Styela clava: one gene and its partner. The protein of the gene in region 1 interacts with the protein of each later gene in a pairwise test. Links are inferred from orthologs where the notes say so. Each region holds a gene or a part of one and is shown in the gene's direction. Other genes may lie near its edges.

Region 1 (16,155 bases):
TCATTGAATCCCAGAAATGTGTTGAATGTTAGTTCAGAAGTGGCTACTACCTGTTCTTATATGCTGAATGATAGTACCGTAGCTCCCCGGGTGAGTGTGAGTGCGTGTACTATGAACAATGTGACTCGAATACCTGAAATGAGTGTGAGTTTACCATTCACCTCACCTATTTCAATTGCTAGTCAGATTCCAATCTATACTGCTCCTAAAGCAAGTTCTGTACCGGTAGTGACTATGTCAAATAATGTCCCTTTGACAGGTGTGACCCAAATGCCTGTTATGCCTAATCAAGTTTTGTCATACCCTCAAATAATTTATGTACCCCAACCTCAGTTTGGTTTACCACCTTCGGAACCCCCTACTTTTTCTGGAGATGCTGCGGAGTACAGATATTTTTTGGATATATTTGACACTGTAATTGGAAGTAGAGTTCAAAGCCCTAAAGAAAAAATGGTGTATTTGCTTAAATATACAAAGGGTCCTGCTCATGCACTGGTCAAAGGTTGCCAGCATCGTGGATCTGAATGTTATAATGAAGCAATTCAGTTGCTTGATGAAACATATGGACGAAAATATCAAATAGGGGAAGCTTGTATAAATTCAGTTTCCTGTGGTCCTAATTTAAAATTGGCTGATAAAGATGCCCTAACAATGTTTGCCGCAGAGCTGATGTCCTGTATGAATACATTGATAGGAATTGAATATAATAATGTATCCATTATGACAATTGATAAGATGGCCATGAGAATGCCTCATTCTTGGAGGGCAGGGTGGCTGTCTGTAGTTGATGACGTTTTAAATGAAAAGAAGGTGAATTTAACAGTTGAACATTTGGCGAATTATGTTCGAAAACGAACTCGTGAAAACACGAATCTGCCTTCTAATGATTCGAACTCACCTCCAAAGCAATCGAACCCTGTGAAAGGTCTGAAACCCTATAGATCAACATTTGCTACATCAGTTGTTGATAGGCCCGTACAAAAATGTGTTAAATGCAATAAAGATCATTTTTTGAATCAGTGTGTTAAATTTCGTGAATTGAGCTATGAAGATAAAATTGAGTTTGTCAGGAACCGAAAGCTTTGTTTTTCATGCCTCGAACCTGGTCACTGGAGCAAAGACTGTAAGCGAACAAAGCCTTGTAAGGTTGAAGGATGCAAGAGAAGACATACAACGATTCTTCATCCTCCAGACAAAATCCAAATTAATCATTCTGGGACAAAAGGTGATGAATCTCCTGTTTTGAAAAATTTTGGCTCTCAAACACCTGAAACTGAAACCAAATTCAATGCTTTTGTTAATACATCTAAAAATGAAAAGGTTTTGCTCAATGTGATTCCTGTTAAAGTACGTGTTAATGGTGACAAAAATGCTATTGTGACAAACGCATTTTTTGATAATGGTTCCACTTGCTCATTCATAAGTGAGTCTCTTATGCACAAGTTAAATGTTGATGGTCTCAAGATAAATTTGAATGTTCGTACAATAAATAATGAAACTGAAAGTAAACAAAGTATCATTGTGAAAGGTCTTGAAATTTCGAACTTTGATGAATCTGAATATGTGCCATTGACGCCATTATTTTCAAACGATAAAATCGGTGTTGAGCAATCTGATATTCCCTCTCAAAAGGACGTGGATCAATTTATTGAATTTAAGAATGTTGTTATACCAAATATTAAATCTGAAGTGGGTCTTTTGATTGGCAAGGATAATCCTAAATTGCACAAACCATTGGAAGTTGCTTATGGCCCTCATGACTATTTTGCATCTAAGACTGTTGCTGGATGGATGATTAGTTGTCCACCTAAGAAGAATGACAATCAAGGTAATCCATGTAATTATTTTGTGAAAAATGAAGTGCATCCATTGTGTCAAATGTGCACGGATGTCATTGATTCGGCTAATAATGAAAAGGAAGAAATCTCTCCTCGACAACAAATGTTCCTTGATAGGGTGAGTGAATCTATTAAGTTGAAAGATGACGGACACTATGAAATTGATTTGCCATTTATAAATCCAAATTCGAAATTACCTTCAAATTATTTGCAAGTGAAACAGCGAACCGAATCGCTCAAGCGTCGATTTATTAGGGATCCAAATTTTTATTCCGAATATAAAGATTTTGTGGAAAATATGTTAACTATGGGTTATGCAGAAGAAGTTTCTGATTCTACTGAAAGTGAAGGTCAAATTTGGTATATTAATCATCATGGCGTTTATCACCCTGAAAAGAAGAAAATTCGTGTAGTATTTGACTGCTCATCTAAATTTCAAGGAATCTGCCTTAACGACGTTCTGTTACAGGGGCCGGACCTGGCCAATAACTTGGTTGGTGTTCTGTCAAGGTTTCGCAAAAATGTGGTTGCTGTACAGGGAGATATTCGCTCAATGTTTTTACAAGTGAAGGTACCCGAAAAACACAGAAATTATCTTAGATTTTTCTGGTGGGAAGACAGCGACATAAATAAACCCATGAAAGAATTTCGCATGACAGCTTATCCATTTGGAACGGTTTGCAGCCCAAGTTGCTGTAATTATGCATTGAAACAATCTGCCGAAGACAATAAACATGATTTTGATATAAGTGTCATAAATGCAATTAACGATTCATTCTATGTGGATGATTTTTTCGATTCAAGACCAAATGCCGAAAGTGCCGTTTCTCTTGTGAAAAATATTTCTGCTGTCTGCGCAAAAGGCGGATTTGAAGTTTTAAAATGGATCAGTAATGATCGCAATGTTATTGCCGAAATTCCTGAAGATATGAGATCAAAGAATTTGAAAAATTTAAATTTAGCTGTTGACGCTTTACCTCTTGAACATGCTCTAGGTATGATTTGGAGTGTTGATGAAGACATCTTGTGTTTCTCTGTTAATCCTAAAGAGAGACCTTGTAATAGACGTGGCATGTTAAGTGTCGTGAATTCTATTTTTGACCCAATGGGCCTGGTACAACCAGTGCTTCAGCCTGTGAAGGTTCTAATGCAAATGCTTTGCAGACGGAAGTTCAGTTGGGATGACCCAATACCGCCGGGAGTTGAACAAGAATGGCTAAAATGGCTTTCTGAGTTGCCTAAACTGAAGGAATTTAATGTACCAAGATGTTTTGTACCCGTGGATTACGGTGAAGTTGTAGAAACTCAAATTCATCATTTTTCAGATGCGTCTGAAAAATCATATGGCGCTGTGTCTTATCTCAGGATGTTGAATTCATCTGGACAAATACACTGTGTGTTACTTGGTGGAAAATCTAGGCTAGTACCATTGAAAGGCTCGACAATACCTAGACTCGAATTGTGTGCAGCAACTATTTCTGCGCGCAATGATAAATTTTTCAGAAATGAGCTTAAAATTGAAATTTCTGCATCTTATTTTTGGACAGATAGTACGACGGTGTTACGCTATTTGGCTAATGAGGATAAAGTATTTAAAACTTTTGTTGCTAACAGAGTAAATCTAATCAAGGAAGTTTCTGAAATTAACCAATGGTATTATGTGCCATCTAAATTGAATCCGGCTGATGTTGCCTCCAGAGGTATGTCAGTGGATGCTTTCCTGAATTATCCGGAATGGAAATCTGGTCCAAGTTTTTTATGGGAATGTCATGATGAGTGGCCTGAACAACCTGATTTCTTACATTCTGTGTCTGATGGAAATTTGGAAATTAAGAAAGAATTGCCTGAAAAATGTTTTGCTGCTGTGAAAGATCAACCATGTGTTCTTGATGATGTCGTTGCTAAATATTCAAATTGGCATCACTTGAAGAAAATAATTGCTTGGATGTTACGTTACATAAACAAATTAAAGTCAATTGTTGGATCAAACTGCAATTTGAAATCTGGACCTGTTGAATCTTTAACTGTAGAAGAAATGATTCTGGCTGAGGTGGAAATTATAAAGCATGAACAAAGAAAATACTTTTTAAAAGAAATTGATGTTTTGTTCAAAGGAAAACAAATTCCAAAATCAAGCTCTTTCATGTAATTTACAACCATTCTTGGAAAACGGACTACTTCGTGTAGGAGGTAGGATCAGAGCAGCAAATGTTGAGTTTAATGTAAAGCATCCAATTATTATCCCAAAAGAAAGTAAAATTGCTTCTTTGATAATAGATTATGTCCACAGAACAACTGGTCATAACGGTCGTGAATATGTGTTAGCTGAAATAAATCAAAAGTATTGGATCGTAAAAGGTAATGCTTTGGTGCGAAGTGTTTTGAGAGGATGTGTTCCTTGCAGGAAGAGACAACGTCCTCCTGAATCTCAATTAATGGCGGACTTACCTGAGAATCGCTTGATACCGGATAAACCTCCTTTCACATATGTTGCAGTGGATTGTTTCGGTCCATTCTTGATCAAGCAAGGAAGGAGCGAGGTTAAACGTTATGGTGTGCTTTTTACTTGTTTAGTGTCGCGCGCTGTACATGTGGAAATAGCAAACAGTCTGGACACTAGTGCTTTCATTATGTCTCTTAGAAGATTCATAGCAAGGAGAGGTCAAGTTATTGAGATGCGATCTGATAATGGCACTAACTTCGTCTCTGGTGAACGAGAACTCAGAGATGCGATTAAATCTTGGAACAAAAACCAAATTCATGATTATTTGTTACAGAAAAACATCAAATGGATATTTCAAACGCCTGCTTCATCGCATCATGGTGGTGTGTTTGAGAGACAGATTAGAACTATAAGGAAAATCTTTAATGCTATTTGCTGTGAACAAGTGTTGACAGATGAGAGTTTAAGAACTCTTATGTGCGAATGCGAAAATATTGTGAATGGACGACCGATTACTACGGTATCGAACGACCCTAAAGATTTAACTCCATTAAGTCCAAACAATTTATTACTGATGAAAGAGGAACCAATGCTTCCTCCAGGTGTGTTTGACCCCAAGGACATGTATGCTCGAAAGCGTTGGAAGCAAGTCCAATATCTTGCGGATGTTTTCTGGAAACGTTGGAGAAAGGAATTCCTTCCGCTTCTTCAATGTCGACAAAAATGGAACAAAGTGCAACGAGATCTTCAAAAGGATGACATTGTACTTGTTGTGAATGAGAATCAACCACGAAACACTTGGTTGCTGGGACGAGTCATTGAAACTTACCAGGATAGCAAGGGTAGGGTTCGTTCCGTGGGTGTTCAAACCAAACATTCCATATTCCAACGCCCTGTGACAAAACTTGTACTTCTGCGTGAGTGTGATGAAGCATGATTTGATAACTTTTCAATTTCGTTTTAAAGAATTTCTTTCTGGCATGGTTGTTGAGTGTGTTTGATGTGTTTTGAGTGTGTGGAAATCTTGTAAATTTGTGGATGCAAATTTTAAATTTCCAAGGGGCCGGGATGAAACCGCCTCGCATTTGTTTTCGTTTATTTCACACTTGACTGATTTTGTGATTTGCGTATTTTGCGATTGCAACATAACCTCACACATTGATGTTGCCATGTTTCTAGTATTGTTTTGTAGTTATTTCTAGGTTTGTATTGGGCATATCTAATGCTGCTCAAGTAGGGTTTAGTACTAGTGTAATTTATGATATTTTTCTGATGACAACCTACCCCGATTTGTAGACTGTTAACAAATTAGAACATAGAATTATGCTAATTTGTCCTGTGTTGCTAGGCCAGCTCTCTTTGTGTTGTTGCTTATTTCTGGCAACGCTCGTTCTTTCGCTCGCTGCTTTCTGGGCGGGAATGTTGGCAGTGATCATCTGCTCTCCAGTTTTGTTAGATTTTTAGTTGTTTAAGGTCTCAAGGAACCGGGTTTTTAAGTCATATATTTAGTAAAAGTTACCTTTAAATCTTTCCCAGCTCTATTCGCGTTTAGATGTTCGTTATTCTCAGTAGGCTAGGAAAACAGTTGCAAGTAGTTATTTCATGATATTTTGTGTGTTTATTTGTTAGATCTGATCAAATATAGAGCTAGTTAAAATAATAGCTTCCAGTCAAATAATTGGTTGTTCTTTGAGTTGAAGGCTACATCGTCAAGTAAGTCTTTGATTTATCGTATTTTATGCTTTATTTAGTGATATGAAACTGCAATTTTAAGGTAAACAATTGTGCTGTATTTTTGGCTTTTTCAATTAATTTGTGATTCTAAATTGATAAATATTGTGCTTTTTAAGTGCTAATTAGTTAGATGTTTAGTAAGTTTTATTGTGTGACATATTTTGAGACTGTTTTTTATTTCTGTTTAGAAAACCGTACAAATTGACAACTGTATACTGATTCGTACTTTCAACTGTAATTGAATTTCAATCGTACGTACACTGCATTTTAAACGTACTTTTTTCGTGACAACAAGAAATTTCAAAAGGCGATTTGTACGCGTATTTTTATTGTGGAGTCTCGAAACGATTCAGAGAGCAACCGTCCGTTAACGCGTGTTGGCGCTAGATAGCGACTCCGATTTGGCGCCTACAGCCTACTCATCTAGATTAGAAGTATATAGTAAATAATTGTCCCTATCCACTAAGCCAGGGGTGTGCAACATTTAATACAGGAGAGCTAAATACAAATAACTGGGTGAAATTGCGGGTTGTACCTTTATTTAACATAGACTTCTAGTAGTTGCAGACACAAAAATTTTGGTATTTATTTTATGACATGGGCATAGATAAAAAAAAAAAATTGGGTGCCGGTATAGGCTTGGAATTACTCACACGTACCAGATTAAAATAATTTAGAAAACTTGTTTCGCAGGCCGTAAAATATTTCTTTGTGGGCCACAGGTTGCACACCCCTGCAATAAACAATTTGAGGCAGTCTAGGGAGATTTAGACGATAACTGGTCACTTCCAAAATTTTAAATATATGATGCGGATGTTACTAATTATATATCATATTTTATGCATTGTGGTATAATCAATAGTGTGTCAATTTATAAAATTTTTAAGTTTAGTGATTAAATATTGATTTGAATTGGTGAAAAAAATATACTATGAAATTACTGTGTATTCGTCTCTATGATTATACTGAATATTGTAAGTTTCTCTACTTGGAACGAACGGTTGTATATTAATGAGTCGTTTCTATGAATGCCAGCAATTATTTATAGCTTTTTCTTTTTTTTTATCAGGAATTCGAGCACTAATTGATGCATATTGTAATATACTTGTGTGCTGTAGTATTACCATATCGATCATTTTATCATATTTTTATTATGTGATAATATTCACCTGCATACACTGCATGACGCATATGTCTCTCACAGCGCAGGAAGTCGCCTGTTACATGATTAAGTATCGATGCTGCGCCTATAACCTGTGCATGCAGTACGGTGATTAGTCATTGACGAAATATAATCCTAACTTGCTGACAATTTGTGATGACAGATCACAGTCATGATATTCAAGTGTGAGCAATAGGTGTGAATTGCTTTAGATCTATATATTGATTATGTGATTTATTGTTTGTTTCTGCTTGTCAAGATCAGTAATCCTCTTTGTTCTGGCTATGAGTGTGACAGCGTGTTTCAAGTTACTGGCAAGGAATAATAAATTGTTTATTCTTTCATACGGAATAAATTTTTTGCATTGATAGAAATATAGATGGTATATTTTGATCAAAGAATCTTCGTACTGATATATTTAATTCTGAGAAATTGGTGTTGAGAATAGCTTCAAAAATGCTTTGAAAGTATAAGATTTGCATTATTGATTGTAAAAAATGATAGACATTTGGGAGGGAGAAAGAGCATTTGATGCTTTTTTTCCACTTGATACAGCAAGGGACTTCCCTTTTTGTACCTTGTTTAGATTTAAAATGTACGGTATATTGTGAAAAAGGACTGTCAAGTTATAATATCTCTCTGTGTCTTCAATTTAAGAAATGTATTACCGGTATTCGAATATTTTTATTTTTTTCTAATATTTTTGTCAACCAAAATACGAACATAATATATTGAAATAATAAATACCGGTAGTAACTCAATCATTTTGGTATAGACTGGTATATTATTTAAAAACGTTTTCTCTTCTACATTTGCTTTCCAGAATATTATGGTTGGTTAGTTCTGTTTATCGTATTCGACCTTAGTCTAAGTAGTTTTCCACCCACTGAACTCTGGAACAGTTTTCTATAGATATTCAATAGGCAGTAAGCAGGTTCAGGAAGTGAGTTGCATCACTCTTTTGATTTGGATTTATTGTTTATCTATTCCTCGTGCAACTAGGTAATTTATGAACTACTGTGCTGTGCAATGAATTCAAATGAAAATGATGGCGAAATGTCCACGACAGAAAGACACATGTCAAGTGAGTTTAATTTATTTTTATCATTATTTATATGACATCTTACAAACGACAGCCATTCAAAAGACTGGGCATGAGTGCTTCATGAGCCGAGCTTCAACATTCTACAAACCCATTGGTTCTTATGGTTAACCCCAATCCATTATTAATATTAGGAGTATTAATCTTGCTTCATATGCTTGCTATCGCCAGCATCCCTTCAAAAAAGTTTCAGATGGTTTAACGAATGTCTACTGATAGACTAAAGTATCTAATCCTATGTCAAATAGTTCTCAATGTTTAAAATAGATCCAACATTAAAATATTATGATCTTCACTATTGTCACAGACTCACAAAATGTATTAGTTACCTTTGGATTAATAATGTTTGATAGAAAATTGGAAAACGATACATATAGTGTAGTAAAAATACACAAAAAATTCAGATTGTTTTGAACTTTTAATAACAAAATTATGTTGTATTTGATGTGTGCATAAATAATTTTTCCTTATTGACTTGATTATCCCTTTGATAGAGGAAATTCTTAAATTTTATATATTTACAAAAGTAGATACTTGGATATGCAATAAATTACCAACTTTTACTTCGACCCTTTATTGCTATATGACGACAAAATATATGTCCTTACTTCACCCTTTTTGAAGTATTGAACTAAAGCAGTCGATACTTACAGTGATAAATAAGCTGTATCATTTCGTTTTTCTTTGTGAAATTTAACCTTATTCAACTGGTCGAATTCGTAATATACACGGCGGCATCTCAGCATGGGGTGATATTTTATACTCATAGTTGGAGGCTGGAGCCATTGTATTCATTACTTATTCAACTGTTTGACCCTCTCCTACTTTGTATTTAGATAGATTATCCAAGCGTGTCTGTTGATTTTGTTTGTTTATGTGTATGTGTTTCTTTAATGGTTATATGTGTCCTTCATGTGTGCTCTGTTTCATCCCCCAAGGATCAAGATATCCAAACTATATTGAAGCTCTTTTTAATATATAATATGACATGGTCAGTGTTAGAGTCATATACTGCTATACTGGAATAAACTCTTCAAAAAGTAGAATTAAGTTTTGTTTTTGTTTGTAAGAATAAATTATTGATTAACTGGCTTTTAAGCACCCCAATAAAGGGGTATTTTCTCATTTAAACTGGCTCAGTAATGACTGATGGAAACTTATTGATTTAGATGATTTCAATTTAATGCATTCGACTAATTGGAATAACCACAATAAGAGAAGTTTGTGGGAGTGTTTCTTAATAGCAGTCGTAAAGCATGTTGAATGTCCAATAAAGCTAGCTCATACTTCTTTCTCATTGTTGAATTTAACATATTTGTTCGTTTATGTCAAGTCCTTTTTCGGACAGATGAAACTTTTTTTTTTTGGAATAGATTGATATTTCGTGATGAACTTGAAATGATCTTTCCACATGCAATTCGTGAATCACTGTTGTAAATTATAAAATCGATGCTAATGACCTGTTGGAATGAATGCAGTTATATCAATTTTATAACATAAATTGTTCCATTACCTACTGACATTAGCTTTGTAGTTGGGTATTATTAGCCATAACGAAAACCGCATTACATGCATGGTGTTGTCAGTTTTATATATGCAAATATGGTAATTACTTGGTTCCATTTGTTGCTAGGATCACCAGCAAATCAGTCTTTTGTTTATTTTTTCAACGATCACAGAAAATGCACAGTCATGCACAGAAACTGATACAGCAAATACCAATAACATTATATGAGTGATAGAGTTGTGAGGGACCTCGAAAGGCCTTCAAGCAGCGACATCCAATACCCTGGTACATGATTAGCGTAAAACGTAACAACTGTTGACTGTGCAGAAGTTGATAGTAAACATATTTGGGGATTTTCGCACAGAATATCGGAAAATAAATAATCTCAGAAAAAATTCACAACAAAGTAAATTTTGATGAAATATATAAAAAATAAAAGCAAGGCAAATTTAAAACCTGAGAAAAACTCTTAAAAAAGGCGAATCTGGAAAAATGTATACAAATTGCAAAAAAAACATATAAGGAACTACAAAAAAGGCAAATGTGTAATGATAACACTATGAAAAGAACACTTTCAACACTTATCAGAGGAAACCTGTCTGTATGGCATACTGCATTTTGTATATACAATGTGCCTGACTCATGGAATAAATATTTTCTTTTCACGATCAAGCTATGATTACTGTATTATACACGTATGAAAAGTATATGCAGCTTTGCATTATAGTATAAAGTTTCAATCTTGAAATAGTAGATCAGTATTTTTGTTGCTAACAGAATAAATAGGGGTACAATAGATATCATTGATAACCAGAAGGAGATCTAATTTGGCTTATCAGGATCAGTGGATGATCTGAATAGATCATTCTAGAATGCATTCGGAATACGGAATTATTTGGTTTCGGCCATCCCTGCTAGACCACCATTATATTTATTTACTTTTTAATGGAAAACTGTTTTTATTGCTTTGTTGACCTTACATGGACAGAGTTCAGGGAAAATGTTTTTATTTTTGTTTAGAGAAGTTGATGCATTACTTACTGTTCGATCCTTTTGCAGCTATGAATTTTTCATGAGTCTTCCTAGCATTCAAGAAATTGATTTATGATTTGTTAGGAGATTTATTATTGAGACATTGGGGAATGATTTTAGTCCGTTGGTACAAAGCTTCTTTTGATATCCACATTCGTGATTCATACTCAAAAAAAATATAAATTTTTTCTGAATGTATCTTGTATGTAACTAACCACTTAATCAAAAATTCAAATAAAAACAGAAAATTGCACCAAATATAGAATGAGTCCAAATAACAACGCATGAACTTCTTAAATACTTGTAGAAAATTATTTGACATTTAACTTTCGTTATTATATGATTGTGCCCAAAAGCTTCAGTAATCTAGGACATTTCTCACAAAAATTATTTTCTCTCTAGATTCTAGAATATGTTTTAAATGACCTGGGTTCTGTTTTTTGGTCGCCTTATACATGAAATAGATAGGAAAATTTATGTCAATTGTAGCATTCGAGATGATTCATTTTCAGCATTGATAGAATTTGTTTCCAAGCTTAAATTCATGTAAGCTGGTTGGCGTAGCTGTACAGCTACAAATACCGTATCATCTCCCAACACTATACTATGGTTGCTCAATCATCACACATTTTGTTGTCATAAGATGCTAAATCCAAATCATGTACCGGTACATCTTTACTATTGCCGTTATCGTTATTCTGTAACAAAATTTATCGATTAATAAAGGTCAATATGAATTGAATGTTATAATATTATCTTCATTTGACTCGGATGACTTTGAATTTGACCAAATTTTCATCAGATCTGGTGCAATGACAAATTTCACCATCGAGCGCTAATGAGATCCACTCCCACGTGAAAATAGATCATTAAAGCTTGTTTATGTTGCCTTACTTTTCAACACAGAAGTCGTTACATTTCTTCTATACTTGCAATAATCAAATCATCTGTTTTAGTTTATTTTCTCTGACAGTTTTGTGAAACAAATTAGTTAAGTTGAATCTTTTACATTTGTCTCTTTTGTATATTTCAGGTGTGCCGTTCCCACCTAGTCACAAGCTCACTATAGATGATATTTTCGATTCTAATGGTAGTCCACGAGTTGACCTATTGAAACAACATTTTGTAAAAGAAGGAAGAATTTGTGAAGAGGTATGTTATTATGGTTTGCAATTAGCATTGTTCACATTTTATAATCAAACAAGAAAGCGATGCTCAAATCTATGAACACGAAGGCTAAAACGAAGTAGTATCAAATCTTTTACTGTACCTGGGAGATTTGAATTCAGAACACGAGTACATAATTTTTAATTTTCATGTTGATTTGATGTGATTTTGAATAACGAAACGACCCATAGGTCCATGTTGTGTCCAATAATTATTTGTCCCAATTGATCTGTCAATATCAATGTGCCTTTGAATATAATTTGGTAATGGTTGAAATTTTTTCGGGTGTTATTTGCATTTTGACTGGCTACACTACAGTTTATCAAAATCTTACTTCTTTTTATCTCCTACTGTTGTTGAAACACAGTTGGAGTAACTTTATCTGTCAGACAATATATAATCTCTCAAGCAGATAATGTGGTTATGGTTCTGTTCTTTTTCTCATGGACTTATTCACCCATTAATTCTTTGAATTGTTAGAGTCATTAGCGTTAGCTGAAATAACTGCTTCGTTGATGTATTCAAATTCATTTCCAGAAAAGTTTATGTGTAAATGAATATATTTTTCAATGACTCTCAACCGATTTTCCACACAGCATTTCTACCATAATGATATCCAGTTGCTTTTTAATATTCAGAACAATATTGGGAGTGAAATGATATTTTGACATTTTATAATAACACTCGACTATTTAGCTAAAATTCCAAGTGATAAGATTTTTGACTGTGTAAAACATATTGAAACAATGACAGTATCTGAAAATGTACAATATATCTTGAAATTGGATTTTCTTGATTATATTAAGCCAAAAATATTTAAAAAATTGATTCTTTGTTTCAAAATATGAAAAATGATTTTGGTTTCGTATGTCAGTTCTGTCATTGATAGATCCACTATTCCCACTTGCAATACGAAACCTTTATAACTCTAAACTTTGTACCAGTTTGGAAAGTTTTTAAAACATTTCCTCATGAATTATTTAGTTGCCAACAAAACATTGATTGCTGCCTGAATATGTGAATAAGCATTTACCTGATGTGCCAATGGGAGCTTATTTCAATTTCATTGGTTACTTGTATTTTTTATACGAATCTCTAAAATTTGAAAGTAAACCTTATAAAAATCATGAGCTTATAAATTGTATTTTTTAAGGTAAATTTTATTAATATATTTGAGAATTTTTTACCGCTTTGATTTGGTTAGTGAATGACAGTATTTTGCTTTTGTGGTTGACATTTTTATTAAAATATTTTTCATGATTAACTAATAGCGCTATATCATAAACTTAATGATTGATGTCATATTTATTCATCTGCATAGTTTCAAATTCTGTAAATCGGCCCTTTTTTGCTTTATATCTCAAAAAAACTTCAGCAATCCAGAAGTGTATGTACCAATATGGAGGTAACTAATTTTGTTCGCCTACTTTACATCAAGTTGTGTAAAAGGACGGAAGCATATGGGCAGCAGTGTCGCTCAGCAGTGTTAGACCTCAACTCTTTTAATGAATTTCTATGATATGTTTAAAGTTTTAAATGTATTTATTTTAAAAGCAAATCTCTGTTAAGGATTTGAAATAATTTGATTGTGATCTCCACATAATTGGGAGTATTTTCCATGTGGGATCTTTAGAAAATTCAGTTAAATTTTGAATACCTAGGATTCGTTTGTTACTGGCAAATGCGTTTCATGGATATTTTTTCGCCATAGAAAATTGTGCTTTTTGTAAAACGTTTTCAAAATCCAAACATTTCTATTTATGGAAAAAGTTAATAGTTCACTATTTATGAAAACCGGTATGTTAATTTTGGACGTCCTTGTTTGTAGCCATCCGTATTTGTCGACATAACGATCTTTTATCAGTTTATTTACTTAGATCGAATGTTTGATTACCCGACATTCACTTCATGTTTGGAATTGCCCTACTTACAAAATAGAAGTTTCACTAGAAACTAAACAAATAACCTGTCATAAGTACTACAGGATGTTGTCTAATCATTAATAAAAGTTGAGTTTTGTCCTTGCAAATTTGACTAATGATTCACACAAGTATTGTTAAAGCAATGGAGTACAAACAAACTTGAGAATTTTTCAGTTTAAATCTCATCAATTTCAGATTTGTTTTCTTGATATCAGAAACCGAAGATGTATTTTGGCATGCATCAAGATTTTAGTGTGTTAGAAACAAGAAAATTGAATCTATTACACACTTGAAGAATTAATATACAAAATTTATTGGCTGAAAAGTATACATCCATTCATAATTTGAGTCAGCCATATTACTTCTGACACTGGTAATATTGTATAAAAATGGTTATTCTGAAAATAAAAGCAAATTATTTTATCGAATAATCCTAAGTTTATGAAAGAATAAAAGTGACCCTATAGTCTAATAGTTGTGAAAGACTACAGAATAGTACTGGGGTAGTAAAAATTGAAATCATATTATTTTCACTCTAAATAAGTCACTGTACAAGCAGTGATTGCTATGTGAGGACGTACCTAATTTTGAAAGAATCAAAATCGTTTCCGTTCATCATTGCCTACCTGATTACACTCTGGGTGATACATTGAGGTGATGTGTATGAGATTTTACCCTATGATGCCAAAAAACCCAAGTCGAACGCTTTCACCACAAAACCATTGCGCCCATCGTAATATATTTATTTTGTGTCTAGGCGGCATTAAGGATAATAAATGACGGGGCAGAACTTTTACGAAGAGAAAAAACAATGCTCGATATCCAGGCACCAGTTACAGGTAAGATCTATTGAATTGTTATGATAAATGTCTGTCCCTTCAGAGAATCACAAATATAAAGAGTGCTCATAATGGATGGTTTCGAATTCTGATATTTTTTTTTCAGTTCAATTATGCCAAGGTAATTCAAAATGAAGCAAAATCAATAAGACTGTACATTTTAGATTATGGTATCTAAATTTTCAGGAAACCTTTTTTTTTTGATTTTATTCAGTTTGAATTTTTTTTTATTAAACTGACATTTTTTGAAAACTTTCATTAAAACTTTAAAAGACAGAATGTAATGTAATGTTGTAAGATTACGGACACCGGAACGTAGTATGTGTATCATGTTAGGGTTAGGCCATAATTTCAGGTACAAATACTACGGGAGTCGCTTGACTAGTCCCCGAACTCGTAATAGAACTAAAATAAGGAAATTTGGAATAAAATTATGGCCTAACCCTAACCTGATGCACATACTATGTTCAGGCGCCCGTCATCTTGTTGCACTTACTACGGGAGTGCTAAATTTTCGATAAATTGAAAAATCAAGTCAATTGCCAGCCTTTTTCAATCAAAATTGGTCTCCTTGAGATTTTATACATGCCAAGAAATTTTCTACTCCTCAATACCTGTCACATGGACATGATTGATTGACATTGTTGAGGATCACAATGCCATTTTTCAATACATTGACAACGGGATCATAGAAATGTTTAGAAATTCGATCTTATTATGCTATTGTCTTTTTTTGTGTATAACAAATGCTCACTATATTGTTATCAAATTACTTGCCTGTTAGCGCTTAGAAAACAGTTGAAATATTTTCTTTGTTTAAGATGCTTCGAAGAATATTACATAAACCGAAACTTGTTACCTATCATAAACTTCATCGAACTTTCGCGATATCTCAAATCAGGGTCAATGACTAAGCCATGAATAAATTGTACCTTGAGGGCAAGCAGAATACTTGGACAGGAACCTAATCAGATGATGCTATATTTTATGTAGATTATCTGATTGGGAAAACAGAAAATAGCTATTTCATATTGATAATCACCAATTACAATGATTCATAAAGTCGTATAAATTTTTTTCGTTTTCGAAAGGAAATTTTATTTACATTATGAAATCAATGTTTTGTTACTTTATTCCAAAATCGTTTAATATTCTCTGAATTCATTTTTTTCATTTTTATTCTAAATATACTTACCTAAAACTTTGATATTAATTATATCATTTTCTGTATTCAAATACTACAATTCAAAACATTATTTCTATTACATCAAGTCTGTCTGTATTCGAAAACCCAGTTTCGTCAGATAGTTAGCATAAATTAGCGTAACTAATAGATATTTCATCAAGTTGATATACATTGCCGCCCTATGCCACAGGTTATACACATGGGAATTATGTGGTACATTTGT
Region 2 (15,769 bases), on another chromosome or scaffold:
TTTAAATAACAACAACTTTGGAGTATGTGAGACTTTTATACCTGTTTGTTGAGAGTGCTTAGTCAACTCGATGTTTTGTGAGTTTCGGACAGAAATTTCAACCTCCATTATAATCATTAGAAGCCTTAAATTCAAACTCTATCAAATTTAGATTTTGAATATCGCCCCGATGAGATACAGCTCCAGTTCTCACTCCAATAACAAAATAATATGCCAGTTTACTTCACCAACTCAAGCTGATCAGAATATCGAAGATTGAAATGCAATGTACAGTTGTACACTAGAATTTGAACATACCTCTGGGACCCTCTCTCTAGTCTAGACAAAGCTTGTTACATTTATGAAGCCATCAAATTAATTAATAACATATATAGGATTCACAAACATACTTGAACTGCTTGGTGGAGGAACTAGACAAGCTGTCTTCACAGGACCTTCACGCAAAGATAAGATCTCTTGTACTTCACCATTTTCCTGGGATCAAAAGGAGTTTTTTAACAAAATTATTGAAGAATATTACACATGTTGAAAGTACTGGACTGTCCGAAATTGTCTGAACAGCATATCTGACAGACAGTACACCAAAATGAAACTGCTTATGTTAGTACTTTTACAACAATCAATTTGTCAATCTATCATGCTTGGAATATAAAATTTCCTCAAACGCTATAGATATGCTGCAGATTTGAAATCATATTTTGAAAATTCGTTCAGTTACTGGATTTATTAATTAGAATACTGAAGACTTTTATGATCATCCCTGAACAAAAGGCATCTTTTAAATCAAACTTACACATATTATCCATGCTTGTACTCCATTTTTATATCCCAGGATCAACAGCAAAGAATCAACAACATCATTTCTACTCCCATTTGTAAAACCGTCAAATTCAGGATCCAGAGCATTCTTATAATCAAATAATCTTGCCCACAGAACAGTTTCTTTTTCTTCTGCTTGAGATGTATTAGAATATACCTATTGAATATAAGAGAGTACAACATTACGAATACAGCTGAATATATTACTTTCAGATGAATAATTTTGTAGGATGGGATTTTTATATTTATCCAAGGGAGAGAAAAGTTGATAAGACACTTAATCATATTATGGTGAACAACACCCTCTTATATGGTTACCAGTTCATGTCAGGTATGAGAATGGATAACCATTTATTCGTTGCAGATGTATGGACTTGTGTAGAAAGACTACACCATATATATGAAACTCGCTACAAAAACAAAGAAGAGTCTAGAAATCCTATCGCACATGATCATCCCCCACAGAATTCTATCTGTGAATCACTGCAGGGTAATCAGAGGTGCAAGAGCTTTTCAACTTATTTTCCTAACTGAAACTTATGGTGGATTATATCCTTTGGAGAAGTGCAAGTTTCTATGTTAGATATTGAATAGGCCTACTCGCTCTTCTGGACAATATTGATATATAAAGCAATAATGTAGACAGTTTTTCTATAGTTGAGAACCTTAATCATGTGAACATATTTGGTTAAAATCTCCAGCTCCTGGTTCTGTGATCAACCAATTTCTATCTCACACATGTTAAGATAGATAAAGCAGACTTATCTTTCTATGCAAAGCTCCCTATATCTTAGTGATAAGAAATGTACAAGCAGATATTATATTGTATATAAATATGGAAATCTTATAATATAACACTTACTTGTCCAATATCATGAAAAAAATTCACCATGCTTTCCATGTAAGAACTGTCTCTGAAAAGAGTAAAATAAAATTAAATCCATGCAATCCCCAAATCGAACATGTTCATGAAGTGTATTGGTTGCTCAAGGGTAAGTTGATTGAATTTGAACTTATAAATATACTTACTTCATTGGTTGTGCTTGCACAACATGACCCGAAGGCGCGTCTCTTCGACGTCTTGAATTCATCGTTTCAAAATTTGTAATACCACCAGACATGTCTTTATTGAACTTCTAAAAATATAATAAAAGCAATTTACCAGTTACAATATATAAAAGTGAAATAGAAGCTAGCAAGGTTTTTGAAAGTGATTCATCACCTTACAGCAAGTTACAGTGTAACATATGTTCCACAAATATTGGCATATAAGTAGGTTCGACAATCAAAAATCTAACGCATAAATCATTTATGAGAGTAAATGGGAAAAAATATTCTGTTATGCAAATGAAAGAATAATCAGTTAGTTTCACTTCTCAAACAAATTCTGAATCATCGTCATCGTGTTTTTTATTGTTTGTCAAATGTTGAGGCGATCCGTCAATTTTTGCATTGAAGCATATTTTAAAATATAATTCTCACATATTATGACTCTTTTCTTCCTAGCGAGTTATTGATTTTAAACATGTTTTTATTGTGTGAACATGAAACATAATTTCTAAATAAACCTGCATTAAAAATTAATTCAATATACCTTTGAATAACATAGCTGGAATAATTGGTTGTTGTGTGAATTGTATCTGATACATTAGCATTTTAATTTTGCTATCAGTTTCTAAGAAAAAAATTAAACATATTTTTGAGTAATAATATAATAATATTACAACATTAAAAAAGTGACTATCTGAAACTTAAAACATGCATTTCCAAATCGCCTATGCACGAAAACAACGGTGATAGAAATACTTGCATTTTAAACAGATTCCAACTGAAAAAATATATCTAATTATGGCAGTCCAAAAAAATATCCTGATTATCTATTATTATTATTATTATGCACTTTAACAATACACGCACAACTATAAAAATGTCCCAACAAGATATCCCAACTCAGGTAAATATACATATAACATATACCTGAGCTGCAAATTCAAATTGATCTCATTAAAATATAATCAAGTAATAACGAACATTCAAGCCTAAGCTCTGAATAACACACCATGAATAGTATGAAAAAATTTGAGTACCTTTTGACAGGTTCTCCATATTACAAATCATTTTGACAATTAAACCCTTCGATGTTATTTTAGAAACAGATGGAAATTTTGAAACGAAATAAAATAGAAAAAAGCGACATATTGAAAAATTAAAGTGAGAAATTAAAAATAATATATGAATGCATAAATTCTCGAAAAAAAGAATACAATTCTTCTCCTGATACAGAACATAAGCATTGATTAATTCTGTAATGATCTAAGACAGTATGAAGTTATAAAGCTGCTTGATAAAAACAAGTATTGGTCAATAAACTATTCAGTTACTGAAGCAGAGGCCAGGTGTTTTACACATAATTGCGAATTTGTGAAAGCTGTAATGTAGAAAAGGGTTTCAAAATATTTAAGAATTTTCATACAACCTACTGGTAAGTATATTATTATTATCAACTTTTCCCCGATAAAATATAAAGGTTGTATAATTATGTCACATATAATTTATTATTCTAATTCCACGGATCCGGCTTATAAAGTACAATTCTGTACTATCTTTACCATCATGCAAGAAATATATCTTGACAGATCAAACACATGATGAGCAAACGTCTAATTCATCCACACTGGATCTGCTGATTTACCAATATGTCATTAAAAGTGTGCCTCTATCTAAGATGTCAACATAATATATGACCTAGTATTCTGGATTGCAAATATTTAAAATTGATTGAATAAAAGGATAGTAATTTGGTTTTGAATATAGCCATCTTTTTTAAATATCATTATTTCTGATTCATATGAAAATTAATATTTTTTTCTGTAAAACATCATATTTTTTCTGCTAAATCACCATAGTCTGTAATAATATCAAGAAAAAAAAACAGTTAAAATTGGGTAGACATGGATGCTAGAAATTGTTGAATAATAAAATTCTGAAGAACTGCAGCAGATGACTTGATAGTGCAAGCAAATGACAAATGACAAAAGTGATCATTTCAGTGACTAAGCATACTGAAACATTGTCATATCATTCAGACATTTTTTTTTTCATATTCAGCTTGCCATCCAATTTTCAAGCTGCCTGAGTTCTGCTTCATCATCTTTCACTTTTGCCACTGGAGTAGGTAGATCCGATACTGGGACATCAGGAAGTTCATTTGTTGCTGCACCCACATTCAGCAATTCTCTGTCTAGATCTTCCTGCTCTAATTCCTCAAGTTCAGCCATGAGATCATCTTCATCAATGTCTGTGCCAAATCCTACAGGACCTGACAATGCGTCACTTATTTCTTGAGCAACTTGTTGTTGCTCTTCAATGTCATCCATAACCTCATGAACATCATCTGCTGACATGTTTCCATGAACCTGTTTCAATGCTTTTGCGCCATATTGCATGTTTTTGAAAGTTTGTGCATTTGCTTGTGCATCCTGCAACGCTTCCACTTGAAACTCAATATTTGATAAAGTCCCATCCACCTGACCAAGTTGTTTTTCAAATCTCTTCTTTCTTTTAAGTGCTGTTAAGGCTAGCTTTTTATTTTTAGTGCCATGTCTTTTGGCGGTAGCAAGTTCATCTTGAATCTTTTTCTCCAAGTATTCTGATTTTTTCTCAAGCATTTCCTGTGTTTCTTTCAATTTCTGGATCGCTTCCTCTCGTGTTGGCTGTTTACTTTTACCTCCTCCAAATAACTTTGCTAATCCACTCATTTTTCGCAAAACTATTCTTCCAGTAAATACGTGCGTTTTCACTGTGCAGATATAGTTCAGGCAGACAACAATTACAATTGCACCACAAGGACGACAAAACAAAGCGATTTTTCCTGAAGCTCATCAGCTGACAAAAACAAAACAAACTTGTCGGCGGTCAACCATGTAAGAGTTGAAAGGTCATATTGCGACGCCCACTAAATATTATATTTGTCCAGTCTTGCCATTCAGTAATCAGTATTTACTTATAATAAGTATAAGTATATAAGTATAAGTTTACCAATCTTAAGATCGGTAAGTATGTTGATAGGTATTTGTCTGTGTATGTCTGTTTGTCTGTATGTTAGATGCACGCGATATCTCACGGAAGCGAGGTTGAATCTGCTTCAAATTTTGCATGTGCATTCGTTATAGCTCGGATCAGAAGCCTATTGGATGGATTATGTCTTATAGTTAGCGAGTTATTAATTAATTAGTGATGGGACACACAGTGTCACTATGGAGTAAGACCACTGTTTTGGGAGATCCCCTAACCTTCGATCGATAAGTCTTCGGTTTCTAACCGATATTCTAGTTTATTTCTTCATCATGCTGAAAGTACGAACTATACACAAATTAAAGGAAATGTTAAAAAAAAATGCATTATATGGTGAGAGAAGACGCCGAAAACAATTTCTTTTAACTGTAAATTATATGAGCTCTTTTTATAAACTACAAGTACGGGAACAGAGTACTGGCTGTTAGCGCACGCACCGCTGCCCAACTAGGGTTGCCAACCGTCCTTAATTGAGTTTTTCTATCCTTGTTCTTTATTATTATTTATTAAGTTTGTAAATTACGCATTTCGTCCATTATTTCTAACATCGCTTTCCCTATAAGAGCTGCCAAATATTTAGAATTAGATTAAAATATTGGTTGATTACTGTACAGTGCAGTTTACAATAAACAATCGTGTGCCGGAAGTGCGACTCAGAAGTTAATCAAGCTCGTTTGAGTTGTTGGTAGTGAGGAAATAGGAGGGCACGTGCTCCTTGCGCTAAGAGGATATGAAGCGGATAATTCAAGAAATGAGTAAAAATACCGATACAAACAAAACTGAACACCAACTTCCTACAAATGTAGATTCCGTTGTGACTTGCAAAACGATTGTCGACTATAGATCGTTTTTCAATTCAGCAATAACATACTAAAAATAGGTCTTGCAGGGAATTCGCTTCCGAAATATCAGAAATTGTTGAATATAGTCAATTTATTTTTCCCTCAGTAAAAAATAGCATACGGAATTAAAATATATAAAAATTTAACTCGGTTATACTTAGAGAACCGATACCACTTTTGCCGCCGTTACCGATATAAATGAAAATATGCCGATACCGACGAGGCGATATTTCAAAAAACCGATATTGCCGATATTCTGATACTATTTGATTATTACCTCGTGTACAGATGCATTACCTTAATCAATTCTGATGCATTGTGCATCGACTCTAGTAATCTCGCTGTTCAATTAGAAAATTCATACGATCCGGTTACTATGGATGGTAAAGTGAATAAATATTCACTTATCATATCAAACTGATATATTGCGTTGCGTGCGCAGGAATTTGTGCCAATATAACGTCGTATTTTGTATGTCACACATTGGATAATCTACTAATCTTCGATTGATATATTTCATCATAACTTCCCTGTAATATTACAAATGTCAATATAAACATTTGGCAGCGAAAATAGCAAATTTAGTTGAGCTAGTTTGGCTTAATAATAACTAAAAACAAGTCAGAATCAAGTTTTAGTTTCTACTCGCGGAGGAGAAATACCGCAAATGTCATGCCGCAAAAAAATAATTTCAAGATTCGTTCTCTAACATATTCTTAAACATTCGTAATCAGATTTAAAAGCAAAATATATCGGAAGTATCGGTCTACATTTAGCCGACACTAATACAAATACCGATACCAAAAAAATGGTCGATATTGCAAATAACTAATACCGATGGCGATACATTAATAAATCTTTAGTTACAATGGGTGAGGGAAAACGCGGGGACCCAATACTGGTTATTGAGCAGCCACACCCAAGGTTCTAATATCTAATAAGGTCAGGAACCAACAACGGCCATTAGTATTTATTAAACTAAACGGCAGACTTGCTCTGAACATAGATGTCCTTTTCCATGAAATCGCATTATTTAAAAAAAATTATTATTCAAAGTTCGAATTCACAATTGTGTAAATAATATCATCAAGATATATCATTAGTGCTTCGGCCCCGGGGACATCGGAGTACATAAAGATTAGACAACAGTTGCTGAAGTCGGCTCATCCGAGATTAGCCGTGGAAACAAACGGAAAGCAATAGTTCAGATTGATCCGCAGAGGCTGTAATGAAGCCTTGACAAGTAAGTCAAAGAATTGCCGTCCTGTGTGTTTGTCCTTTGTTTTGTATTTTTTTTTTTATATGGAAGTGTTCAAAATAAATTATTTATTTATATTAAAATATTTGACGAAATAATATCGCATTAATTTTTAGATCATGTTGAATGAGTTCCGAATTTCTTGGCTATTGCTAATAAGTAAACGGCTGCCACACACTTGTAAGTTTACAAGTATATGACTGACTTTAGTCAATTATCCCATATGTTAGGTTGACAAGACGATGTGGCAATAAATATATATATTAATAATAATAATTAAACCATCCTTTTCAGATTTTCTCCCATATGATACCTATACATAACATATAAATACCATTGTATGCAACAGTGAATTACTGTAAAAGAAATTTTCAATTTTTCATCTAAATTTATCCGCGTAGAATTAGTATTTAATTTAGTTATTGTTTACATTTTGAGGTTTTATATTCAGTTAACCATGGTTTTATGTCCTTTATGGCTTTTCAGTTACGTTGATCTCGGCCTATTACAGTATTGGATGAATTGAGTCTATAATTCAGTTTTCAAAAGGGAAATACTCTTGGTTTCAGAGGATACTGTATACTGGTTTATAAAATATCAACATATTCAATGCTACCTGACACGAAAGACATATCTAAGAGGGAGGCTCATAATGGCTGTGCCAGTGCGGAATTGCTCCTGAAAGAATTGGATGTTGAGGACTTGCCAAGTTCTGTTTTTGTGTGTGATGTTCCGAATATGGTGTTCTGTGAAGAAGACGTTAAGGTATGCTTGTACATTAAATACTTTATTGGCTATCTGTACATTGCAATATTGGGTCTGGTATAGTTTAGTACCACAGCCACTTCTAGTTGGCCTGGCTCAACAATTTTTGCATATGTCAATCCTAACCCCAACCTGACTACGTCACCGAAAAATTACGTCATTCCGACGTCACAGTGGCGTAATAAGGCTCACCGAAGTATGCGGATGGTCGTCCAAAACGTGCAGACGATAACCGAAATCGAGCAAGCTATTTCTCTCGTTTTCTCGTCGCAACGATCACGATAGGAGAGAGATCGCCAGCTTTAGCAAGTTCTTATCGGCGGCGCAGATGCCATTTCGAGCGATCATAATTATACTTTGGCAACCCCTATGACGTGATGGTGACGTCAGAGTAACGTAATTTTTAGATGGCATAGTCAGGTGGGGGTTAGGAATAACATATGCAAAAATTGTTATGCTACGCCCACTGGAAGTACTTGTGGTACTAAACTATACTAGACCCGCAATATCTTCTTGATGCAGAACAGTCTGACAGTAAATTATATATACCGTAATATTTGATATAACTTTAGGCAGTTAGGTGAGTGAACACTTACCACTTGTATTTGGCAATACCTTCCATATTCTATTATTGTATTATGTACGTTCCAAACCTTATTCAAGGTTTTGTTTGCTCTCTCTGATTTCATAATCAGGTTTGATTTATCCGTTTTTATCAATCATTTTATTGTTATGCTGTTTATGGAGTCGAAATAAACTTATACTTATTTGCTGATTTGTTATTCTAAGTACAGACTGACAGAACATTTCCGTAGCATACCGGTACTGTAGCCTAGGACATGCAGAAATGGCATAACTCAGTAGCCATATAGCATAGGCTCGGTGCTGTGGAGCATCATCTGTTTATGCTAAGCATTAGTAATATGCTTGCCACCTCTACCCTGCAGTAAAACTTATGTGCGAGAGAATTGCTGGACTCCTTTCCGCCATAGTGTGGTTCGCACAACGGCTGGCCGCTCACGTCTTCCTCCGCCATCTAAAACAAGCGGCTGTGGTTTGTCATATGATTAAGACTCATCGATATTCCTCTTCCCCGGGATAAATATGTAAATCCTATCCTGCAGTGGCCAGGTATTGACTTCATGATGGAGGAAGCCATAATAATCACTCTACAAAGGTGGGGGGTCCATTAACCCCCTCGCACATAATTATCCCCACAGGATTCGAACACATGGGATAACCAACCTCAACATGTTAATCAACCTCAACATTCTGATGCTGCCACAAATACTGTAATAGGAAATATTATGCCATGTATGAGTTTTTCATCATTTCCAGTTCAATGTAGAATTATTATAATAAGCTGATTTTGCTGTTTGCTCCATTTTCATGAGGTTGAGTCAAATTATGATTAAGTTGACTTGACTCTTCATAATGTCTGATTGTGGAAATCATAAAACTAGTTTCTGAAGCTGAATAAAAAATATATGGTTTTACATAATTTGCTATATCAGTACAGCAGTATAAATATTTCTGCATCATTTCTATAGTTTGTCAACTTGATTTTACTAAAGGTATTTTTGAATTTATACTTCCTGAAACTATTTTTACGGAAATTTTTGTTTAATTTTTACAGGAAGAATTTCAGAATCTATTCAGTCATTTGAATCCAACAAACTTTATCTATCTCCAAAATTTTCGACGAGTTAAAGTCTATTTTGAATCATCTATGAATGCCGCACAGGCACGAGTCTCATTGCATGGATATGAATATAGGAATCAAACAATTAAAATATATTTTGCTCAGGTGTTGATTATATTTATTTTTTGTTTTGTGGTAATCTGTTTGCTATTGTGATGACCAAGTGGTTACCATGACGAACTCGCCAGCTCAGATTCGAGCCTTTATAGTTTATGTGTTAGTCCGACTCTATCTCTTTATCAAGACGTGCCAAACTAGGCTTGCTTTTGAGATATTAAAAATATTGAGATATTTCAACCGTACTAGATGCACTTCTCTGGAGTGACTGCATGTAAACAAGCTGTCTGAAACACTCGCACTACAATTGATTAGTATGCATTGTGCATCATAATGTAGTAGCAGTAATGTGTTGTATAGATTTTGCACTGTGGTTTTAAAGAATAAGTGATGTTGTGTTTTCCATCAGTATTCTTGAGTGGTTCTGATATAGGCTATAACTAATCTTGTTTACTAGTAAAAATGGCTGCAATGTATACCAAAACCCTTAAAACTGCCAATATCTAGATTCAGTCAAGTTCAGATGATGAGTCATCAGACAGTCTTCTTCCTCCAAAACCTGATCGATTGTTTTTAATTTCACCACCTGCATCACCGCCAGTTGGTTGGGAACCAATACCAGAAAGTGAACCTGTTATTAATTACCATCTTTTATCAGCTATTGCTTCCCTTCAACCTGGTAAGACAATTTCATAATTGGCTTAATGAATGACAATGAATAAAGGATTTAATGCATAAATGTCAGTGAGGCTTTTGTTATTTAAACAATGCCTAACATGGGGATACTAATTCAGCTATTTAGTAAAATTTAGATTTACTTGTACTTAAAAACAATTGAAATAACTTGAATAATGCTCAACATTTTTCACACAGGTGAGAGCCATGAAATTCACCCAGGAACTTTGTCAACACCAAGCGTAGTTGTCCATACATGTGAAGAGGATGAAGCAGGAAGTTCTGTGGGGCAGCCTAAATTAAAAATACAACAAACTAGACGACCTGATGCTCCCAGTTAACCACAAAATAATAATATTTAAGAATAAAAGCATGTATGAAAAAAACACTTGAATCTACTCAGATTTACGATCATTGTCTATTGTAATCTGGGCATAACGTGATCATCTATCATGTATCGGCAACTTGTAAATATTGAAGCAGAGCAAATTTCTTATATACTACGTTTTATTTCTATCATTCATTTATTTTTGCACCAATGCACTGTGAAGCTAAGTCCAAATCAAACACCAATGATATACAAGTTGTCAATACTTTCAAATCAGCGCTGAACAGGTTGGACTTGGCTTGTACTGTGTACCTGCATTTTCAACATTTCACACAATTTATTAACGTCAATAAATTCCTGGTTACACCACGCATGGTTTGTACCGAGTAATATTAATCTTTTTTTATTTTGTGCACTTTTAACGTTTATGCTTTGTAGCATACAATCAACTCTCGCCTCCAGACAAAAATACATTGTTGTGGAAAGTGAAAAAACCTTCGAGATTCGAGAGGCTGGAACATTGAAGGTAGAACCATCCTTGATAATCTTGATCGGAGGAGGCATACGCATCGGTTAACAAGATATATCAAGAAGTTTACTCAATACAAGGATGTCTTGGTCAATGACTAGTTGACTACACATAACCACCGGCATATATTTCATATCTGCCTGGACTTGTTGCGTGTGCCCATTTTTCAACAAGAATCACAAACCCTTACACCAACACTATGATCGGGGGCGAAGTAGTGGAATTTACTAAATTTAATTAATGAAGGTTTCACCATGTTACATTTCCGCAGTGTTTGGACGACCACACGTTTCACCATATTACTGGCGTGATTAGGCTTCATAGGATAGAATTTACCTATTTATCCCGCCGGAGAGGAAAGTCGATTATTCAGTCAGTCGTTTGTTCTCGGAAGTATGGACTTGATGGTAGAGGAAGCCGTAACCGAGGGCGTAAAGCAGGGGTCGGCAACCTACGGCCCGCGGAGCAATATAATCAGGCCCGCGACGCTTCACTGAATCATAGTAACAAAACAGCTGTTTTGACAATTATATTCATTACGTAACAGAATTTATTCTGAGACACGTGTAGACTAAATTATATTATAACCTAACAAGTATATAATTCCCAATTACTCGTTGAATGAGCCTATATTTTAATTATAATTGGACAAATGGCAACAAAACGCAGAAAAGTTGATGCTAAGTGCAATTGGTTTAATGGCGCAGAAAATATTCAAACGGTCCGTCTTCGGGCGTAGCTAAAAATTAAACTTCTGATCTGTGTGAAAAAATGTGATTCATCGGCCATCCGTTCGGAATTCAGAATTATCATAAAACTTGTTTTGAATATGAATTGCAGCTGACCAAAATGTCTCCAAATGCTTGTTGAAGATCACCAAGAACATCCACATGAAACATAACATAATCAATTTATTTATTAATTGATTTGTTAATAGCCTTACGTTCTTTGTATTGTCGAGGGGCGGTTAGATAGTGATGTGAAGGGGCAATGATACTGTACAGCAGTGGTCGTCAAACTTTTTGAGACGCGACCCCATTTCAAAAATTATGACGTATGATAAGCTTGTGACTCCTAGGTATAGCAAAGAAAAAATATTTCAAACCACTAAAAACTAATCACAGTAAATCTCATTCCCAAAAACTCTATCACACGCTTTGGATTTCGTGTTACAATTTAATATTGCCGTCACACAATAGCCTTATTATACAAGATATCACTGTAATTCAGAATACCCAAACTTGCTATGTAGTGCTAGTCAGCTCAGTTTAGAATGCACGCAATAGAATAATGAAAAATATAACAAGAATACAACGCCGGACACTCGGCGACCCCCGAAATATTCAAGGCGACCCAACTTGGGGTCGCGACCCACACTTTGGTGACCACTGCTGTACAGTGTACATCAAAGTTTGAATACCACTGATCTAAATAACAGCTAACCAATCAGTCATTCAAACCCAAACGGGCGAGAAAGCCGTAACTGGCCAGTGATCACATGAACCAACCACCCTTCGACAAGTTTACTAAATATCTCGCGAATATTTATACAACACAGGATCTGAAACAGCAAATTCATACCATGTAATTAATGATGTAGTACAAAACATATTCCTAACATTTTACAGGGTTCGCCAATAACGGTAATATTTACGGAACAAATTTATATACACTCATATTGCATGCTCCACAAAAATAATAGGAAAGGCTAAAATATTTATAGAAATTCTATGGAACACAATCCAATAACCTAATTGCGGTAACTGCCTCAGCTCTTCAGATACAAAGCAACAACTATTCCTCCTACATATCGCCAAAAGGTGGGCAAAATTGAATAATTTTATCGAATCGAATGTTTTTAATATATACACAACAGGCGTCCAGAACGCTTGACTTTATAATGCTGGCAAGCTACATTTCCGCCCGCTCTCTTTTTCACAAGAACGGATTCTTACCGTCCTTGATCTTCCTCATCACCGCTTGTAAACTACCCGTCCCAAATTTGGGCTAATGATATTATCATTACTGACACCGAAAGATTATAGTTGACCTTCTTCTTATGATTTTACTTTTCTATTGTCTCCCTATTATTTTCATATTGAATAAAAAGTCGTCACTGCAAGAATCCTGAATGTTATTTTGAGTTGAAATGATTAAATAAATTGGCTATAATGGCAATTCTGGTCAAAATATACGAGAAATTTCACAGAATAACTCGCTATCGTGTTTCACGTTTTTAAATTCAAGAAGCGGTGTAGGCACTCTATGTAAAACTAAGAATTGGAGCGATACCCAAACAAGGCTTCTCAAATTTGTAGTTCTTGTCTGTTGACGGACTAATTCTCGCGGAATTCAAGTGATCGGTTTAGTGACGCGGTAGCTCCGGGTCTAAGCAAGAGGTATAGGTCACGTGATACTGGTATGACATTCTAATATTTGAGAGAATCACATGAAAAGCCTATTGTTACGTAACACTGTGTCGACACGGCTCCCCGTTTCTCGGTTGGCGATCCAAGTTCGCCCTTCCAAAAATTATGGAAAGTATTTGCCCCGACTATGACATAACGGAGACACATATGTGTGTATTCTCTGCATGATTGCAGGTTATTAGTAGGAAGAAAAACAACAAAAACTCAATTAAAAAGAACAATGTGCATTATGTAAAGAAGGTGAATGTAGGAAATGAGAGTTGCAAAAAAAAGAAGATGTATTGAGGCCTCTGTACATTTTAAACGTAAACTTAAGCCAAACGTAATCATAATTTTACTGTCTGGTACTGTAAAAATAATAACTATTCATAACCACATTAGGGTTGTTCTACCAACTTACTAGAAATCTATTTACAAAAATAATTAACGGTCAGCGAAAAATGAATCCAGTGGTTAAGCAATTAACTAAAAGAATGACATTGAACCAGCTATTTGGCAAGCAAGCAAATGTCGTGTTGTCACTAAGAACATAAACTAGAAAAAAGCAATGCCGATTCATACATGGCCCAAAGATGGAAAGAAGAACAAATGGATGGGCGAGAAAAAACTGATATAGAAAAAAATCAGAAACAACTTCAATGAACATGAAACATCTCATTTAGATAAAGTTTTCTTCAGTAAAGATGCAATGTCACTGCTGTCATCTGAATATAATAGAAATATAATTTAAACTTGAGCACTCGTTAATCCTGACCAAATCATTGAAGTATAGCTATAATTCCGGAAGCCGCAATATACTTCATCTTTTAGTATCAGATGACAAATATGTATAAAAATGTATAGAGCATTATATTAAAATATTCCAACATCCCTAATGTTCATGGGATGTGTGTCCTTCATTGCTAATTTTGATTCCTTTTTACCAATATAAAACTGGTATCCATCTCAGAATATTGATACTCAAAACGGTGCAATAATGGCCATTATTGATATTATATAATATATTGCTTTGTCACTGTACTTGAGATCATATATACTGTACCCGAATTCGATGTCATTTGCTGCTCTAATTTTAATTTATTTTCAGCCATTTCTAGCATTCCTTCTTCAATAGTATCTTTACTTATGAGTTTCATAATTTTTACATTCCTAAATAAAAAATAGATTGTTAAAAACTGTCAGAAAATCAGATTAGTAAATTGTAATGAAAAGTTGAATATCATCTTTCATAAAACATAATGAAATGGAGTCATATTGAGACCAACCTAAAAAAAGAAGGTTCGCCCATCTTGTGCTAATGAATATATTTTCCTGCGTCATATAGAATGTTCTACGGCATGAATGACCAAAGATAAATAATTTACCATTCTGAATATTATACATTATAGAATAATATCATAGAATATGAATATTGGATATATTCTAAAGCAGGCCTCGTTCAACGAAAATTATGCGTGAATTAATGTGAATTAGTAAGTAGTAGCAGAGGTGTATACATATTTTTCGCAGTGCCACAATTACAGAAAGTCCATTTTTGTCCAGCCATCAGGTGCTAAATATTAAGATACTATACTATACCGAATATAACCAATTTTGGTAACTTCTTATGGTTAACTGCCGATTTTGATTGAGATACTAATATGACAATTGTACACATCCTATCACCACATACGAACAAACTTGCCTAAACGAATGTGCCATGTGTGTTAATGTTTATCAACAACAACATTCAGAAATAGATACACATACTTTGTTTGTCCAAGACGATGACATCTATCCTCAGCCTGTTTGTCATTGTATGGATTCATATCAATATCATGTAATATAACAACGTTTGCCGCTGTCAAGTTGATTCCTAAGCCTCCAGCCTTTGTGGACAACAAGAATACCAATATGGATGGATCAGACTGGAATTGGTCGATGAGATCCAACCTAATGAATAATAATTGTTGGGTATTTATTATCTTAGAATAAGACAAGAAGGGATTAGGTTTTTAACGACAAAAAATAAACTAGAAAAACAGAAAAAATTGTGAATTTAGGGATAATACGCATCTGAAAATCTCTACTTGCAATGTGGAGGTGAACTTGATAAGGAAAAAAAGTTAACTGATAGAAAACATTCACTTTTAGTGCAAAAATAATGCAAATTATCACATTTAAACATAAATGTCTGAGTGATAAATAGAAATGTACAAAATATTTAATCAAGACACACATAAATTTATGATAATTGAAGTAAACCCAGGCATGATGAAGAGAAATCAGTTTTTTATTTAAAATTTGTATTA

The links.
Region 2: the proteins of protein phosphatase 3 catalytic subunit alpha-like (region 1) and calcipressin-2-like interact in binary tests that used the Caenorhabditis elegans proteins (3 or more experiments, as listed by UniProt). The link is inferred for Styela clava from reciprocal best matches to the Caenorhabditis elegans genes tax-6 and rcan-1.

What each region holds. Positions count from the first base shown.
Region 1 is NC_135260.1:10,287,438-10,303,592, reverse strand, and holds the start of protein phosphatase 3 catalytic subunit alpha-like, read left to right. Parts: upstream 1-7,982; 5' UTR 7,983-8,206; coding exon 8,207-8,261; intron 8,262-11,851; coding exon 11,852-11,970; intron 11,971-14,664; coding exon 14,665-14,746; intron 14,747-16,155. Other genes in the region: uncharacterized protein LOC144429597, read left to right, coding at 1-3,987. UniProt on the Caenorhabditis elegans protein: Calcium-dependent, calmodulin-stimulated protein phosphatase. Dephosphorylates arrd-17. Dephosphorylates daf-16 at 'Ser-319' which regulates daf-16 nuclear translocation. Dephosphorylates calcium permeable cation channel pkd-2 at 'Ser-534'.
Region 2 is NC_135257.1:2,746,257-2,762,025, forward strand, and holds calcipressin-2-like, read left to right. Parts: upstream 1-7,442; 5' UTR 7,443-7,602; coding exon 7,603-7,758; intron 7,759-9,394; coding exon 9,395-9,565; intron 9,566-10,024; coding exon 10,025-10,196; intron 10,197-10,390; coding exon 10,391-10,533; 3' UTR 10,534-10,891; downstream 10,892-15,769. Other genes in the region: BCAS3 microtubule associated cell migration factor-like, read right to left, coding at 390-474, 794-976, 1,682-1,733, 1,849-1,940; SWI/SNF-related matrix-associated actin-dependent regulator of chromatin subfamily A containing DEAD/H box 1-like, read right to left, coding at 14,133-14,182, 14,521-14,627, 15,228-15,410. UniProt on the Caenorhabditis elegans protein: Inhibits tax-6/calcineurin A phosphatase activity and thereby negatively regulates calcineurin-mediated functions.